Diceros bicornis minor: one gene and its partner. The protein of the gene in region 2 interacts with the protein of the main gene of each other region in a pairwise test. Links are inferred from orthologs where the notes say so. Each region holds a gene or a part of one and is shown on either strand. Other genes may lie near its edges.

Region 1 (7,066 bases), on a different chromosome or scaffold from region 2:
TTCAGCCAATTCCAAATAATAAACGTTGCATATTAAAAATATCACCTATTCTTATTTTCAATTAAGTCAAACTGTAGATTGACTTATAGTCTATGACCGTCTCTTCCATGGTCCAGGGCGTCAGATTTGGCTTATCTAAAATTCATACGGGGCCGGCCCCGTGGCTTAGCGGTTAAGTGCTGGCGCCCCGCTGCTGGCAGCCCGGGTTCGGATCCCGGGCGCGCACCGACGCACTGCTTCTCTGGCCATGCTGAGGCCGCATCCCACAAACAGCAACTAGAAGGCTGTGCAACTATGACATACAACTATCTACTGGGGCTTTGGGGGAAAAAATAAATAAAAAAAATTAAAAAAAAAAGAAACCTTAAAAAAAATAAAATAAAATTCATAGGGACTAATCAAGTAAAACAAAAGGCAGTTTCAATATATTTCTTTGGGCAGAGGACATGGACAAACAGTTTAGAGATGAAAGACTGCAATTATTGGTACATTTTGGTAGTGATTAAAGACGATGACAGGGCTCGCCCCATGGCATAGTGGTTAAATGCGCACGCTCCGCTGCTGGGGGCCCAGGTTCGGATCCCAGGTGCACACTGACGCACCGCTTGTCAGGCCATGCTGTGGCAGCGTCCCATATAAAGTAGAGGAAGATGGGCACAGATGTTAGCCCAGGGCCAGTCTTCCTCAGCAAAAAGAGGAGGATTGGCATGGATGTTAGCTCAGGGCTAATCTTCCTCACACACACACACGCAAAAGATGATTACAACAATTAGATACAATTTTCTACATAATGAAATGTCAATGAATGATATCTTCATGTAGAGAAGAGTTGAAAGAAACATTTGTTTTGGGTGACGGTATCAATTAATAGAAAAATTCCATTTGGAAAATGATTTGATCATAATCATCCACATGTTCACTCTCTTAATTGTGGGAGTATTTTAAATGTTCAGAACTTGGGGGATGATTAAACATGGTGCAGCACATCCACTCAGTGTAGCCATTAAAAAGATGCTTAAGTGGGGCTGGCCCCGTGGTGTAGCGGTTAAGTGCTCGCACTTCGCTGCTGGCAGCCCGGGTTCAGATCCCAGGCGCGCACCGACGCATCGCTTGTCAGGCCATGCTGTGGCGGTGTCCCATATAAAGTGGAGGAAGATGGGCACGGATGTTGGCTCAGGGCCAGTCTTCCTCAGCAAAAAGAGGAGGATTAGCATGGATGTTAGCTCAGGGCTGATCTTCCTCACAAATAAATAAATAAATAAATAAAATAAAAAGATGCTTAAGGCCAAGTAATTTATGGTCAAGAGAAGAAAATGTGCTTTTGACAGTTAAAAGTAAAAAAAAAGGAAAAAAGAAAAAAAAAGTCCATGAAATTTCATGTGCACTATGATCTCGACATTTTTTTTAATGCCTCTGGATGAGAAAGAAATGGAATAATTTTTTTTTTTTTTTGGTGAGGAAGATCAGCCCTGAGCTAACATCCATGCCAATCTTCCTCTTTTTGCTGAGGAAGACTGGCCCTGGGCTAACATCTGTGCCCATCTTCCTCCATTTTATATGGGACGCCGCCACAGCATGGCCTGACAAGCGGTGCGTTGGTGCACACCCGGGATCCGAACCCAGGCCGCCAGCAGCAGAGCGTGAGCACTTAACCACTACGCCACAGGCATAGAAATCGAATAATTATTAACTTCAGAACGAAAAATCTTGTCTTTGAAATAGAAAGTACATTTAGAAGCTACATACAATCTATAATTTTTTAATCCAAATTTACCACCATTATTCATATTATTTTTAAAATTCATATTATGGTTCTGTGGGTAAAATTTTGCTTCTCACAAATCACAAGCATCAATATTTAAATAAAAACCAAATATTTAAATAAAATTCCTTATCAGTATGTAGAGTATGGCCTTTATCCTCTAAAGACTGCAAACCAATCACAAAAATGTTATACAAACATTCAGAGGTGTGCATTATGCCAAAAATTCAAAAACTTTGTTTTAAAACAGGAAAGGAAAAAAAAGAGCTGAAATAGTTTCTGGACAAGAAAAAAATTTTGCTAGGGAGAGGTTGGGGAATCATGTTACACCAAATTAAAAAAAAAAAGATATTTAAATAGTTGTTCTAGGTAACTTTTTTCCTTTTTTTTCTAGGTAGTTTTGTTTCTAGATGAAACAAAAGAATAAAATCAAAATACTTTTTTTGGAGCTAGTTTTATCAAAGAGCTCCAGATGGAGTCTTTTGAATGGCAATTTCTAAATGAAAGGGTGGGCAGAGATGTCTCAATTTACAAATCAGTGCTTTTCTCCCAGGGTTCACTATCATTTATATGAATATCAGGAGAAGGAAGTATTCAAAATCACAAGAATACATGTCCTTAAATATTGAGACCCACAGAGTCTGGTAAATCTTATGACCTGTTGACATGATGTTTCTGGTCTTTCTAAAAAGGTGACATTTCCCAACAGCATTTTGAGCCTTAAGAAAACCCCAGGTTTACCTCACATGCATTCAGAGAAGGTTAAGAGGCAAAAGTAAATGAAAAAGAAAGCAATAGTGAGGGAAAAAATAATAAATTGCCTCAGTCCAGCCACTTAACTTTTCAACTATTTTATATCCAGCCAACCCACTTGCAGATAGTGACAAAGAAATCATTTCCCCATCATTTTGGTTGTTATTCTAATTTAACGTCATCCTTCATTTTTCTCCAAATTTCTTAAGGGAATTTTAGAACTCCAATATGACAAAAGTAAATTATTTAATAGGTCTATTTTTCCTTAAAATTTCACTACTTATTATATGACCAAATTGTTAGTTAACAATTTAACCCTCAACTCATCAATTTATAGCCAAATAATTAATTACTCTCCTCCTGATTTAGGGTAAAATAAATATCAAGTTTATTTTAAGTAAAGAATGCGTTTTCCTACCGAAGGAAGGAACTAATTTTCTCAGAGTCCGCGTACATAAAAACAGCTGACCCCATAGAGAGAGGTGGTTACAATTATGACTGGATGCAAGGACACAGCACACAGATTGCTGCCCACAACTGAGAGGATAATTCTCTTAACATGAGATGTTTTTCAAAGTCTAGGAGTGGTGGAGTGGATTTCCCTCAGAATATTCTGATGAAAGAAAACTCTGGGTCTACTTGCACCCCCCAGTACAGTGCCTTTCTAAGCCTGTTGCCAAAGACCTGTCTGTAGGGTCAGTGTGAGCACAAGGCTCCATTGCTTGGGCATGGACAGGTCCATGTGAGGCAGTCTGTGTGCTGCAAATAGAAAGAATGATTATGTGACCTTTGGGGTTCCTCCAGCTCCCAGATTCTACAGACAATAAAGGAGTGAGAGGAGGAGAGCCTCCTTTGTTCTAAATTCCATACCTCCCTCTTTCTGAAGCCAGAAGAGAGACAGATGGGGAAGGCCATTCTGGCTGTTTTGGGCTTCACTGGGGTGGCATCATCCTCCCGAAACCACCTCAGTCTAGGGTTTTGTCCTAGGTTGAGACTTTCTGCTTTGGGAGGAAGGGTGGATGGACACCAACCAAACCAAAAGAGCAATTTATGAAGTGACAATGAGCAATATAATTGCACCAAGCACTCCCACCCCTCACCCTGGACTTCCCACCCTGTGGGCGCCTCCATGAAAAGCAGATGGTCTTTAGAAGGGTGATTGGTTGGCGGGGAGTTGGAAGGAAGGACCAGCCTCTGCCTTGGACAGCTCAGGGAAAAGCTTGATGTGTCACCTACAGGACAGAGGAGCACCTGCCTCCAGGTGGGTGGGATGAGCCCTTGGTCCAGAACTGGTCCTGGACTTGGATGGCCAGACCAGCATTATTATCCTCAGAGACTCCCCATTCCTCCCTTCCCTGGCTGACCCAGGCCCTCCTTCAGCCGGACATTCTTTCTTTAGATATGCTAATATCTTCATTCGTTGGGTCTGATCCAGTCCTGGGCCTCAGCTCTGTGTGGACTGTGAAGTTTTCTTTCCTTTCTTTCCAGTTTGAGTGGAGGTGGAGTGGGCAATCTCACTGCTCCGAGCTCTCCTGGCTCCTCCCCGGTTCTCCTGCGACCTGGGTTAAGCGGGCAGGGGGCCGGGAGGGTCCTTTCCAGCCGTGGGATCGTTCAGAGGGCTGAATCTTCAGGCCGGGAGAAGGGCTGGTCCAGGATTGCGGGCGCCGGGCCGGGAGCCCAGCGGGGGCGTGTCCCCGCGCTCACCTGCCATTGGGCAGGTGGGGCCCCCGGGGCTCCGAAGGGCCGTCCTATAAAGGCGGAGCGGGCGCCGCGGAGCCAGGCTCGTCGCAGGATGGTGGACAGCGTGTACCGGACCCGCTCCCTGGGGGTGGCGGCTGAAGGGCTCCCGGACCAGTACGCGGACGGCGAGGCGGCGCGCGTGTGGCAGCTCTACGTCGGGGACACCCGCAGCCGCACGGCCGAGTACAAGGCCTGGCTGATCGGCCTGCTGCGTCAGCACGGCTGCCAGCGGGTGCTCGACGTGGCTTGCGGCACCGGGTGAGCCCGGAAGGGGCCAGTGGGACGGGGGAGCGGGGTCTGGCTCGGCCCGGGCCGGACCGCAGGACCACGGCCGAGCCCGTCCGAGCAGCTTCCTTCGCCGGCCTGGAGCTGGGCCGGGCGGGCTGCCAGGGCCGGGAGAGGGTGTCTGCCCGGGCAGAACGGGCAGGGCGAGGGCCTGGGCGAGGCTGGCGGGAGGAGGGGGCTGAGGAGGCCCAGGGTGAGAGCGGGGGCGTGGGCACAGCGCGGTGGGGAGGCCGGTTCGCCCCGGCAGCGCCAGAGCCGGCTTTGGGGCCAGACCATGTAAGCCTGGGTCCTGGCCCGAACATTGCTCCTGTGTGATGGTCTTGGGCAGCCGTAACAGTTCACATTTGTTCACTTTTGCTCGTGCCAAGTGCTGTGCCCGAAGCTTTTGATACATCCGTTTCAAAAATCCTCATAAAATCCCACGAGGGTTAGGGCTAGGGTTAGGGTGGTGATATCCCATTTACAGCTGTGGAAATTCCGCCTCAGACAGTCAAGGATCCTCCTCTTGTGGAGAGGAGAAACAGACCCAGGGCAGGTAGGGTCTGGCCAGTGCTCTATACCACCATACCATACTACCTCCTGTGCACAGGTCACCTGACTTCCAGGAGCCTCAGTTTGCCCCTCTCAAGTGGGATAACACCATCTACTTCACAGGGTTACCATGAGGATTAATGCACGTTTGTAGAGCGCCTGACTCCAGTAAGTGCTAAAAAAAAAAAAAAAAAAAGTTGCTACCTGGTGATAAGAAACAGATTTGCCAGGTCATTCGAGGTCAGTGGAGAGGAAGCAGAGGAATGGGCTCTGGGGAGTTGAGGAGACTGAGTGTCCAGCACAGGGCCTCCTCCTTGCCTTCCCAGGCCCCTGACTGCCCCCTCCGCCTCTCATCCCTGGCCCTGCCCAGGGTGGACTCCATCATGCTGGTGGAAGAGGGCTTCACCGTGATGAGCGTGGACGCCAGTGACAAGATGCTGAAGTATGCGCTTAAAGAGCGCTGGAATCGGCGGCACGAGCCCGCCTTTGACAAGTGGGGTATGTGGTCCAGCCAGGCCCTCCCAGCCCAGCCACCAAGGACATGGTTCTCTCTGCCCTGGGCCTCTTTAGCTTCTAGGATGGAGTGTTTTTTTCCCTCAAGGGGACAGCAAAATTAGTCATTTCCCTGAAAAGGGAGGCTTAGGCACCAGAATGAGGCATCAGTTATAAGGGGCTGGTTTTAACTATGTTGATAGCATCTTGTCCCTCCCCCCAAATAAAAACCCATAAGCACAGAGCCCTCCTTCCCAACATGGCTTCCTCCTCCTTTGACCCCTCTTCTCCCTTCCCTCTCCAAGTCCATAATGATCCCTTCCCCCTCACTGGATGGGGAGTCCCTGTGTGTGTCTTGAAGGGGAAACTGAGGCAGGACAGCACTTGGTGGAGGTGGGTGTTGCTGGTACCACGGTGCCACCTTGATCTCTCTTCTCCTTCCTGGCCCCCAGTCATCGAAGAAGCCAACTGGATGACTCTGGACAAAGATGTGCCCAAGCCTCCAGGGGGTGGCTTCGATGCCGTCATCTGCCTTGGAAACAGTTTTGCCCACTTGCCGGACTGCAAAGGTGAGAGGGTGTGGCCTTGGGCATGGCTTGCTTTGAGCTGCACCCCTGTCCCCAGACCCCTGGATGCCTGCTCTCCTGCCAGAGCAGACTGCTTTGCCCCTCTCTGCCTTGGCACTGGCACTGCTGGGGAGGAGAGAGATGGGAGGGAAACTGGTGCTGGGGGCCCTGAGCAGACGTAGCCTCTCTGCCCTTGCCCGGAGCTCAGGAGACCAGAGTGAGCACCGGCTGGCACTGAAGAACATTGCGAGCATGGTGCGCTCAGGGGGCCTGCTGGTTATCGATCATCGCAACTACGATCACATCCTCAGCACAGGTTGTGCACCCCCAGGGAAGAACATCTACTATAAGGTGGGGCCACTGGGGGAGGGAGGGCCCAGAGCGGGAGGAGTTAGCCTGAGGTCCAGGCCCCATAGTGGCTGCAGAGGCTAATGCAGCCTGCACCATCACCTGCAGAGTGACTTGACCAAGGACATCACGACCTCAGTGCTGACAGTGAACAACAAGGCCCACATGGTGACCCTGGACTACACAGTGCAGGTGCCGGAGGCTGGCCAGGACAGTTCTCCTCACTTGAGGTAACGACTTGGCTAGGCAGGGGGTGAGCTGGGGGGTGCTGAGGCCACCAGGCCTCATGGTGGTCCGGGGGCTCTGTTGCAGTAAGTTCCGGCTCTCCTACTACCCACACTGCCTGGCACCCTTCACGGAGTTGCTCCGAGCAGCCTTCGGGGGCAAGTGCCAGCATGGCGTCCTGGGTGACTTCAAGCCTTACAAGCCGGGCCAGGCCTACATTCCCTGCTATTTCATCCACGTGCTCAAGAGGACGGACTGAGCATGGCCTAAGGTCCCACAACCCTCTGCCTAGGCACTGCTGGGCTCTGTCTGGGGAGGTGGGGAACAGCAGCCCCACACCCAGTCCAGCCCTGGTGCAGATCCT
Region 2 (6,930 bases):
TAGGGCAGGATGTGTGGTTGCGTGAATAAAGTGTTGTATAACAAAAATCTATCTGGAATCTCTCGGTATTATTTCTTACAACTGCATGTGAATCTATGACGATCTCAAAATAAAAAGTTTAATTTTGGGCCGGCCCGAAGCTTAGCTGTTAAGTGCGCGCGCTCCGCTGCTGGCGGCCCAGGTTGGGATCCTGGGCGCGCACCAACGCACTGCTTGTCCGGCCATGCTGAGGCCGCATCCCACATACAGCAACTAGAAGGATGTACAACTATGACATAGAACTATCTACTGGGTCTTTGGGGAAGAAAAAAGGAGGAGGATTGGCAATAGATGTTAGCTCAGAGTCGGTCTTCCTCAGCAAAAAGAGGAGGATTAGCATGGATGTTAGCTCAGGGCTGATCTTCCTCACAAAAAAAAAAAAGTTTAATTTCAAAACAGCAATGAGAGAGAAGTCGTAAATACCTAAGGTGGCCTTATGTTTGATTATAGAAACAAACAAAGTTGGGAAGCAAATGCAACAGATATTAATAGCAGTTATGTCTCGAATAGGATGTATAATGCTGGAGCTTTGATTTATCTTTTTGTTTGTATTTTCTGATTTTCAAACAATTAATAAGTATTATTTGTATAATAAACACAAATATAAATAACTTTAGAATAGATGTTGAATTAAAAAAAACAAGCTATTTCCTAGCACAAAAAAGGATGATTCTAAACTGCTAGAGAGCCAATAAGATCTTGGGCGGGGGGTGATGCCCTCCCCACATGCGAACAGCTGGATGTGCCAAAAACAATTCATCTGATTAACCCCCTCACCTCAGAGGTTACTGTATACCCTTCTGCCTCACCCCTCCTGATCTTTTTCTGTCTTATCCCTCATCTCTTTCATTTCTTTCCTCCCTCTGCTTCCTTCCAGCCACCTCTTTTCCTCTCCTTTTCATCTTCGCTGTCTTTTCCTTTCCTTTGTCCCTTTCCTTTTCCTTTTCTTTCTCTCTCCCTCTCCCACTTTAATTGGCCATAATTGAGAACCAAGGTGAATTTATTTGTTGTATCTTTTGAAAATTGTTAAGTTTGCCTTCACTGCAGAAAAATTAGAAAATACAGATGAAGGAGAAAGAGACTGTAATCCTATCACTCAGAGATAATCATTAATAATATTTTAGTTCATATTTTCTGTGCAAAACTATATTTTTATTTAAAAAATGCTATACTATAAATAATGTTTTCTAATCTTCTGTTTCTTCTATGTCAATATATAAAAATCTGTGAATTTTTAAGTTGCCTAGTACTATATTGTATGGGTGTACTGTAACATATTTAGCCAATCTTCAACTGCTGGACATTTTTTGCTATCATAAACAACCCTGTAAAGTACATACTTGTATATATATCTTTTCATACTTGTCCAATTATTTCTTCAGACTACATGCCTAGAAAAGGAATGAATGGTCAAAGGGTAGTCACACATTTTTACAGCTTTCTATTGCCAAATTGCCCTCCAAAATGTACCAATTAACTCGCTCTCCTGCAGTGTATGAGGCTGCCCGTTGCCCCAGTCCTTATAAACACCACCACTATCATTACTTTCAGTCTTTGTTGTATCTTTTGAATATAGATTAATTTCTCTTGTTCTTAATTTTAAAAGCAGACAATCTGGCTGTTTGATATTTTCATCTCTTAAAAATACTAAAATAAGTTGCTTTCTAGTAGTGTGTAGCTGTTGGTAGTTTTCTTTTTTTTTGGGTCAGGGCTCCTGATAGAAATAAGATTCTCCACCCCTGTTCGACATCTTTCCTTCCCTCGATCTCTGTCACTCTGCCCTTGGCCAGGTATCCCTCTATGCCCCATCCCACACTCCACGAGTGCATTAAAGAGGCTTTCCATTTGCCCCGGATCTTAGGTACCAGCTGCAAAGTATGAGTTCACTTATAACTGGCCAATATTCCCACAATTATCATCATCATCCACATTTATAATTAGTTTACAATTTCCAAAGGGATTTCTTATACATCAGTTCCTCACAACCATCCTATGAGTTAAGTTGGGCACACACGAGTCTGGGCTTTGGAATCAGACAGGCCTGGGTTGAAATCCTGGGCCGTCACTTAACCGCCCTGAGCTCATTTTCTCTACCTGTAAAGTGGAGATAATAATACTTCAGAGGATTGTTTTGAGGTCTAAATAACATATATAGAGCTCTTAGTGCAGTCCTATTATTGACAGGTGAAATAACTGAGGCTCAGAGAACTCAAGAGATTTGTACAAGTCATATTCAAGCCCAGGTATCCTGACCCTAGAGAATTATGTAATGAATAGCCTCTACCCACCACCTAGCTTTAAAAAGAATTATAGCAACAAACTGAAGATTCCATGTGTCCTTCCCTAATCCCATTCCCCTTCCTCCCTCCCACCTCCTTCTCTCCTTGCCTCCACCCAGGTAACCATTAGCCTGAATTTGGTGTTTATTATTCTCATGATGCTTCTATACTTCGACTCCATATTTATATATCTGTGAGCAACTTTGGTATTCTTCCATATGCTTTTTTTTTTGCTGAGGAAGATTCACTCTGAGCTAACATCTGTGCCAATCTTCCTCTATTTTGTATGTGGGTCACCACCACAGCACGGCCACTGACAAGTGGTGTAGGTCCACACCCAGGAACTGAACCCAGGCCGCCCAAGCAGATAATGCCGAACTTAACCACTAGGCCACAGGGCCAGCCCCCTGTTCTATATGCTTTTAAACTTTATATACACGGTATCAGATTGTGCATATCATTCTGCACCTAGCTTTTTTACTCAATAGTTTTCGAGACTTAACCATGTTGATACGTGGAATTATAGTTCATTTATTTTAAACTCAGTTTAGTATTCCATTATATGACTATACCACAACTGTATTACCCATTCTCCTGTTGATAGACATTTAAATTATTTCCAATTTTATGCCATGACAAACCTTGATGCAATAGACATTCTCATATCGATCTCCTTATAAACATGAGCAAGAATTTCTCTAAATTCTCTTTAGGTCATAAGATATGAACAGATTCAGTTTTACTAGATAGTGCCAAACAGTTTTCCAAAGTGGTTGTACTAATGTATGCTTCCACCAGCAGTGTATAATGAACTCCTATTGCTACACATCTTTACCAACACTTAGTATTGTCAGACTTTGAAATTTTTGACAATCTGATGGGTGTGAAATGTTCTCTCATTGTCGTTTTAATTTGCATTTATCTGATTATTAATGAGAATGGACATGTTTTCATATCTTATTGGTCATTCTGTTTTGTACATCTGCAAAGAGGCTATCCATATTCTTTGCATCCCTTTTTTTTGTTGTTGTTTTGTTTTGTTTTTTGTTTTGTTTTTTTTTTTGCTGAGGAAGATTCGCCCTGAGCTAACATCTGTTGCCAATCTTCCTCTTTTTGCTTGAGGAAGACTCGTCCTGAGCTAACATCTGTGGCAGTCTTCCTCTATTTAGTATGTGGGTTGCTGCCACAGCTTGGCCACCGATGAGTGGTGTAGGTCCACGCCCGGGAACTAAACCCGAGCCACCAAAGCAGAGTGTGCCAAACTTAACCACTAGGCCATGCGGCCAGTCCCTTTGCACACTTTTATACTGGGACATTTTTATTCTTGATTTGTGGGAGTTCTTTATATATTATGAATGGTAACCTTTTGTTTGTTATATGTGTTGCCAATATTTTCTCCCAGGTGTTTGCTTGTTTCATTGTTTATAAAGACTCTTAATGTAAAGAAGTTTTAAATTTTACTGTAGTCAAATGTATTAATTCTTTTCTTTATGGCCATATTGTTTCGATCATATTACATTGTCTCTCTATGTCTTCCTATGAGCCATTTAAGACCTCCTTTTCTCCTCAGGCCTGACAGGTCACTCTCTTCCTCCTTTGCCTGCAGTGTTTGTCATGTTAACATGTGCCTTTCGCTATGGCCATGATGACTTGGATGTGATTGGTCTGACGTTCCGCAAAGATCTGTATGTACAGGTCCTGCAAGTGGTCCCAGCTGAGGCCACCAGCCCCCAGGGGCCCCTCACAGTCCTACAGGAGCGACTGCTGCACAAGCTGGGGGACAATGCCTACCCCTTTACTCTGCAGGTACTGACCCCAAGTCCTGGGCAAGGTTTCCAGGGAAGATTAAGAGAGGAAGCTAAAGAAAGAGAAGAGGGGAAAGGGGTCCCTATTTCTTCTGTTTGCTGACCTCCTTCTGATCTCCTAGATGGTTGTCAACCTGCCCTGTTCGGTGACACTGCAGCCAGATCCTGAAGATACAGGAAAGGTGAGGTCTGGGTTCTGAGAAAGAGGGATAGACGGTCAGCGCTGGGAGAAGGACAGAGGGACAAATGGACAAGATTGAAGAAATAGACAATTAAAGGATGAGGTCAGGCATTTCCTTATAGGCCCATGAAGAAGGGAGGGATAGTGTTAGAAATGAGCTCTCTTTGCCCCTGCCCCTTTGCAGGCCTGTGGGATTGACTTTGAAGTGAAAAGTTTCTGTGCTGAAAACCTGGAGGAGAAAATCTCCAAGAGGTATTCTTTGGTCCTCTCCAAAATCCCTGCCTCCAACCTGTGTCAGGAAATAGATCTTGTTCTCAGGACAGAAACAGTGCTACTTCTAACCTCCATAGCACCATCATTACCAACTCAGATGCCCAGTTCTGATTCCCCTCTGACTTCTCTTCTTTGCTCTAGGGCAAGGGTCAGCAAACTTTTCTGTAAAAGGACAAAAAATAAATATTTAGGCTTTGTGAGCCATACAGTTTCTGCTGTAACTACTCAACTCCGCCAGTGCAGTGCAAAAGCAGCCACAGATAGAATGTAAATGAATGAGCATAGCTGTGTTCCAATACAATTTTATTTATGGACACTGAAATTTGAGTTTTATGTAATTCCAAACATCATGAAATATTACTTTTCTTTGATTTTTTTCAACCATTTAAAAATGTAATAACCATTCTTAGCTCGCAGGCCATACAAGAACAGGCAGCAGGCCAGATTCGGCCAGTGAGCCATAGTTTGCTGACCCATGGTCTAGATCCCTACACTGAGGGTCTAGAGGAGTTCTCTGAGGGAGGCCTTCCTCTACCTCTAACGTCCAAGTAAAGACTGGGTTATGGTGTTGGCACGGGAAATGTCTGTGGGTCCCAAAGCAGACATTCTGGCTAACCCCTTGGCCTCTACTCAGAGACTCTGTGCGCCTGGTGATTCGGAAAATACAGTTTGCACCCCTGGAGCCAGGCCCTGGCCCCTCAGCCCAGACTGTCCGCCGCTTCCTTCTGTCAGCTCAGCCCCTACAACTCCAGGCCTGGATGGACAGGGAGGTTTGTGACCCCCCCACTCCCTGCCCCCTGCCCTACAACCCCTCTGAAACTCTTTCTTCACTGATTTTTCTACTTGGGTAGACAGGGATGGGAGCCAGGGTGGCAATAGTGCTAATGAAATAGGAATTCTAGGTCTTGACCTGGGCATTCTCCCTCCAACCTTGTGATGGGCCTCTCCTCCTGCTTCAGGTTCACTACCATGGCAAACCCATCTCTGTCAATGTTTCTATCAACAACTGCACCAACAAGGTCATAAAAAAAATCAAGATTTCAGGTGAGCTTCTTTTCCTATCCTCCTGCACCTGGTCCCAAATCCACAGGTCTTTTTTCAAAACTCTGCCCCACTTACCCAGTCTGCATTCATCTAGGATTTCCCTCCAATGCAGGCTTACCAAAATATGTGTCTCTGTCCATGAGCACATTTGAGTGCATCATGCATAGTGTGCCCATGTATAAGGTCACTTCTGAGGGCAGTGAGTTGGGGTCTTGAGGATGACTGACTGATTATAGTCATGTGCTTTTCCTGGCTGTTCAGTTGACCAGATCACAGATGTTGTCCTGTATTCACTAGACAAGTACACCAAGACTGTGTTCATTCAGGAGTTCACGTGAGCTGGTGCTGGGGCCGGGGTCAGAAGAACCAAGGGGTGGGGTGATGGGAAGAGGGCCAGGGGGCTGGAGGCAGAGGAAGGGATTGGAGAAAGAAGGAAGCAAGTAACAGCCCAGGACTGAAGAAAGTCAAGGTGAGGGCTGACATGGAGAAAGGGAGGGACTCCCAGGAGAACTAGAGGGAGGATCCACAAGAGGATCATCAAAATGCTGAGAGAGGGAAGGGGCAGAAGGATTTCCCACCAGAGTGAATGTTCCATTCTCCACAGTTAGACATGCCAGGTCTCTGGGATACTCCAGTATATTCATGAAATTATGCAAGATACTCTTGGGAATGAAAGTACCCTTAGTCGGCAAGCCTAGCCTAAGTTCTTCTCTTCTCCTTTCAAAGGGAAACTATAGCTGCTAACTCCAGCTTCTCCAAGAGCTTCACGGTAACCCCACTCCTGGATGCCAACTGCCAGAAACAGGGCCTGGCACTGGACGGCAAACTCAAGCATGGTGATACCAATCTGGCCTCCAGCACGATGTAAGCTCAAATGTAACTCCCCATTCTCTATCCCCAACACATTCTGCATGCTATATATACAGGTCTAAGGTTTCACCTTCAATGAAGCCTACCTACATTTTTAAAATGTCCCTAGGCTAGTGTTCAGAGATCCCTCCAGGCCTGAGGGCTAACAGTAAGCTAAATAATGCCCATGGGACCAATGGCAGGCTTAGGTCATAGGCAACAAGAAAGGAAAAAATGGGGCCGGCCCTGTGGCTTAGTGGTTGAGTGCACGCGCTCCGCTGCTGGCGGCACTGACGCACCGCTTCTCCAGCCACGCTGAGGCCGCGTCCCACATACAGCAACTAGAAGGATGTGCAACTACGACGTACAACTATCTACTGGGGCTTTGGGGAAAAAAAAGGAGGAGGATTGGCAATAGATGTTAGCTCAGAGCCGGTCTTCCTTAGCAAAAAGAGGAAGA

What was found. The genes of interacting proteins can lie anywhere in the genome.
Region 1: the proteins of ARR3 (region 2) and GNMT interact in a two-hybrid assay, tested with the Homo sapiens proteins (2 studies listed by BioGRID and IntAct). The two-hybrid records come from large-scale screens. The link is inferred for Diceros bicornis minor from reciprocal best matches to the Homo sapiens genes ARR3 and GNMT.

Annotation. Positions count from the first base shown.
Region 1 is NC_080753.1:22,694,326-22,701,391, reverse strand, and holds the start of GNMT (glycine N-methyltransferase), read left to right. Parts: upstream 1-4,055; 5' UTR 4,056-4,307; coding exon 4,308-4,513; exon of another isoform or gene 4,514-5,334; coding exon of another isoform or gene 5,335-5,441; coding exon 5,442-5,569; intron 5,570-6,015; coding exon 6,016-6,132; intron 6,133-6,337; coding exon 6,338-6,480; intron 6,481-6,585; coding exon 6,586-6,707; intron 6,708-6,789; coding exon 6,790-6,961; 3' UTR 6,962-7,066. UniProt on the Homo sapiens protein: Catalyzes the methylation of glycine by using S-adenosylmethionine (AdoMet) to form N-methylglycine (sarcosine) with the concomitant production of S-adenosylhomocysteine (AdoHcy), a reaction regulated by the binding of 5-methyltetrahydrofolate.
Region 2 is NC_080781.1:63,648,347-63,655,276, forward strand, and holds the start of ARR3 (arrestin-C), read left to right. Parts: upstream 1-3,930; 5' UTR 3,931-3,932; coding exon 3,933-4,124; intron 4,125-4,245; coding exon 4,246-4,305; intron 4,306-4,488; coding exon 4,489-4,556; intron 4,557-5,211; coding exon 5,212-5,347; intron 5,348-5,536; coding exon 5,537-5,621; intron 5,622-5,882; coding exon 5,883-5,955; intron 5,956-6,347; coding exon 6,348-6,485; intron 6,486-6,930. UniProt on the Homo sapiens protein: May play a role in an as yet undefined retina-specific signal transduction. Could bind to photoactivated-phosphorylated red/green opsins.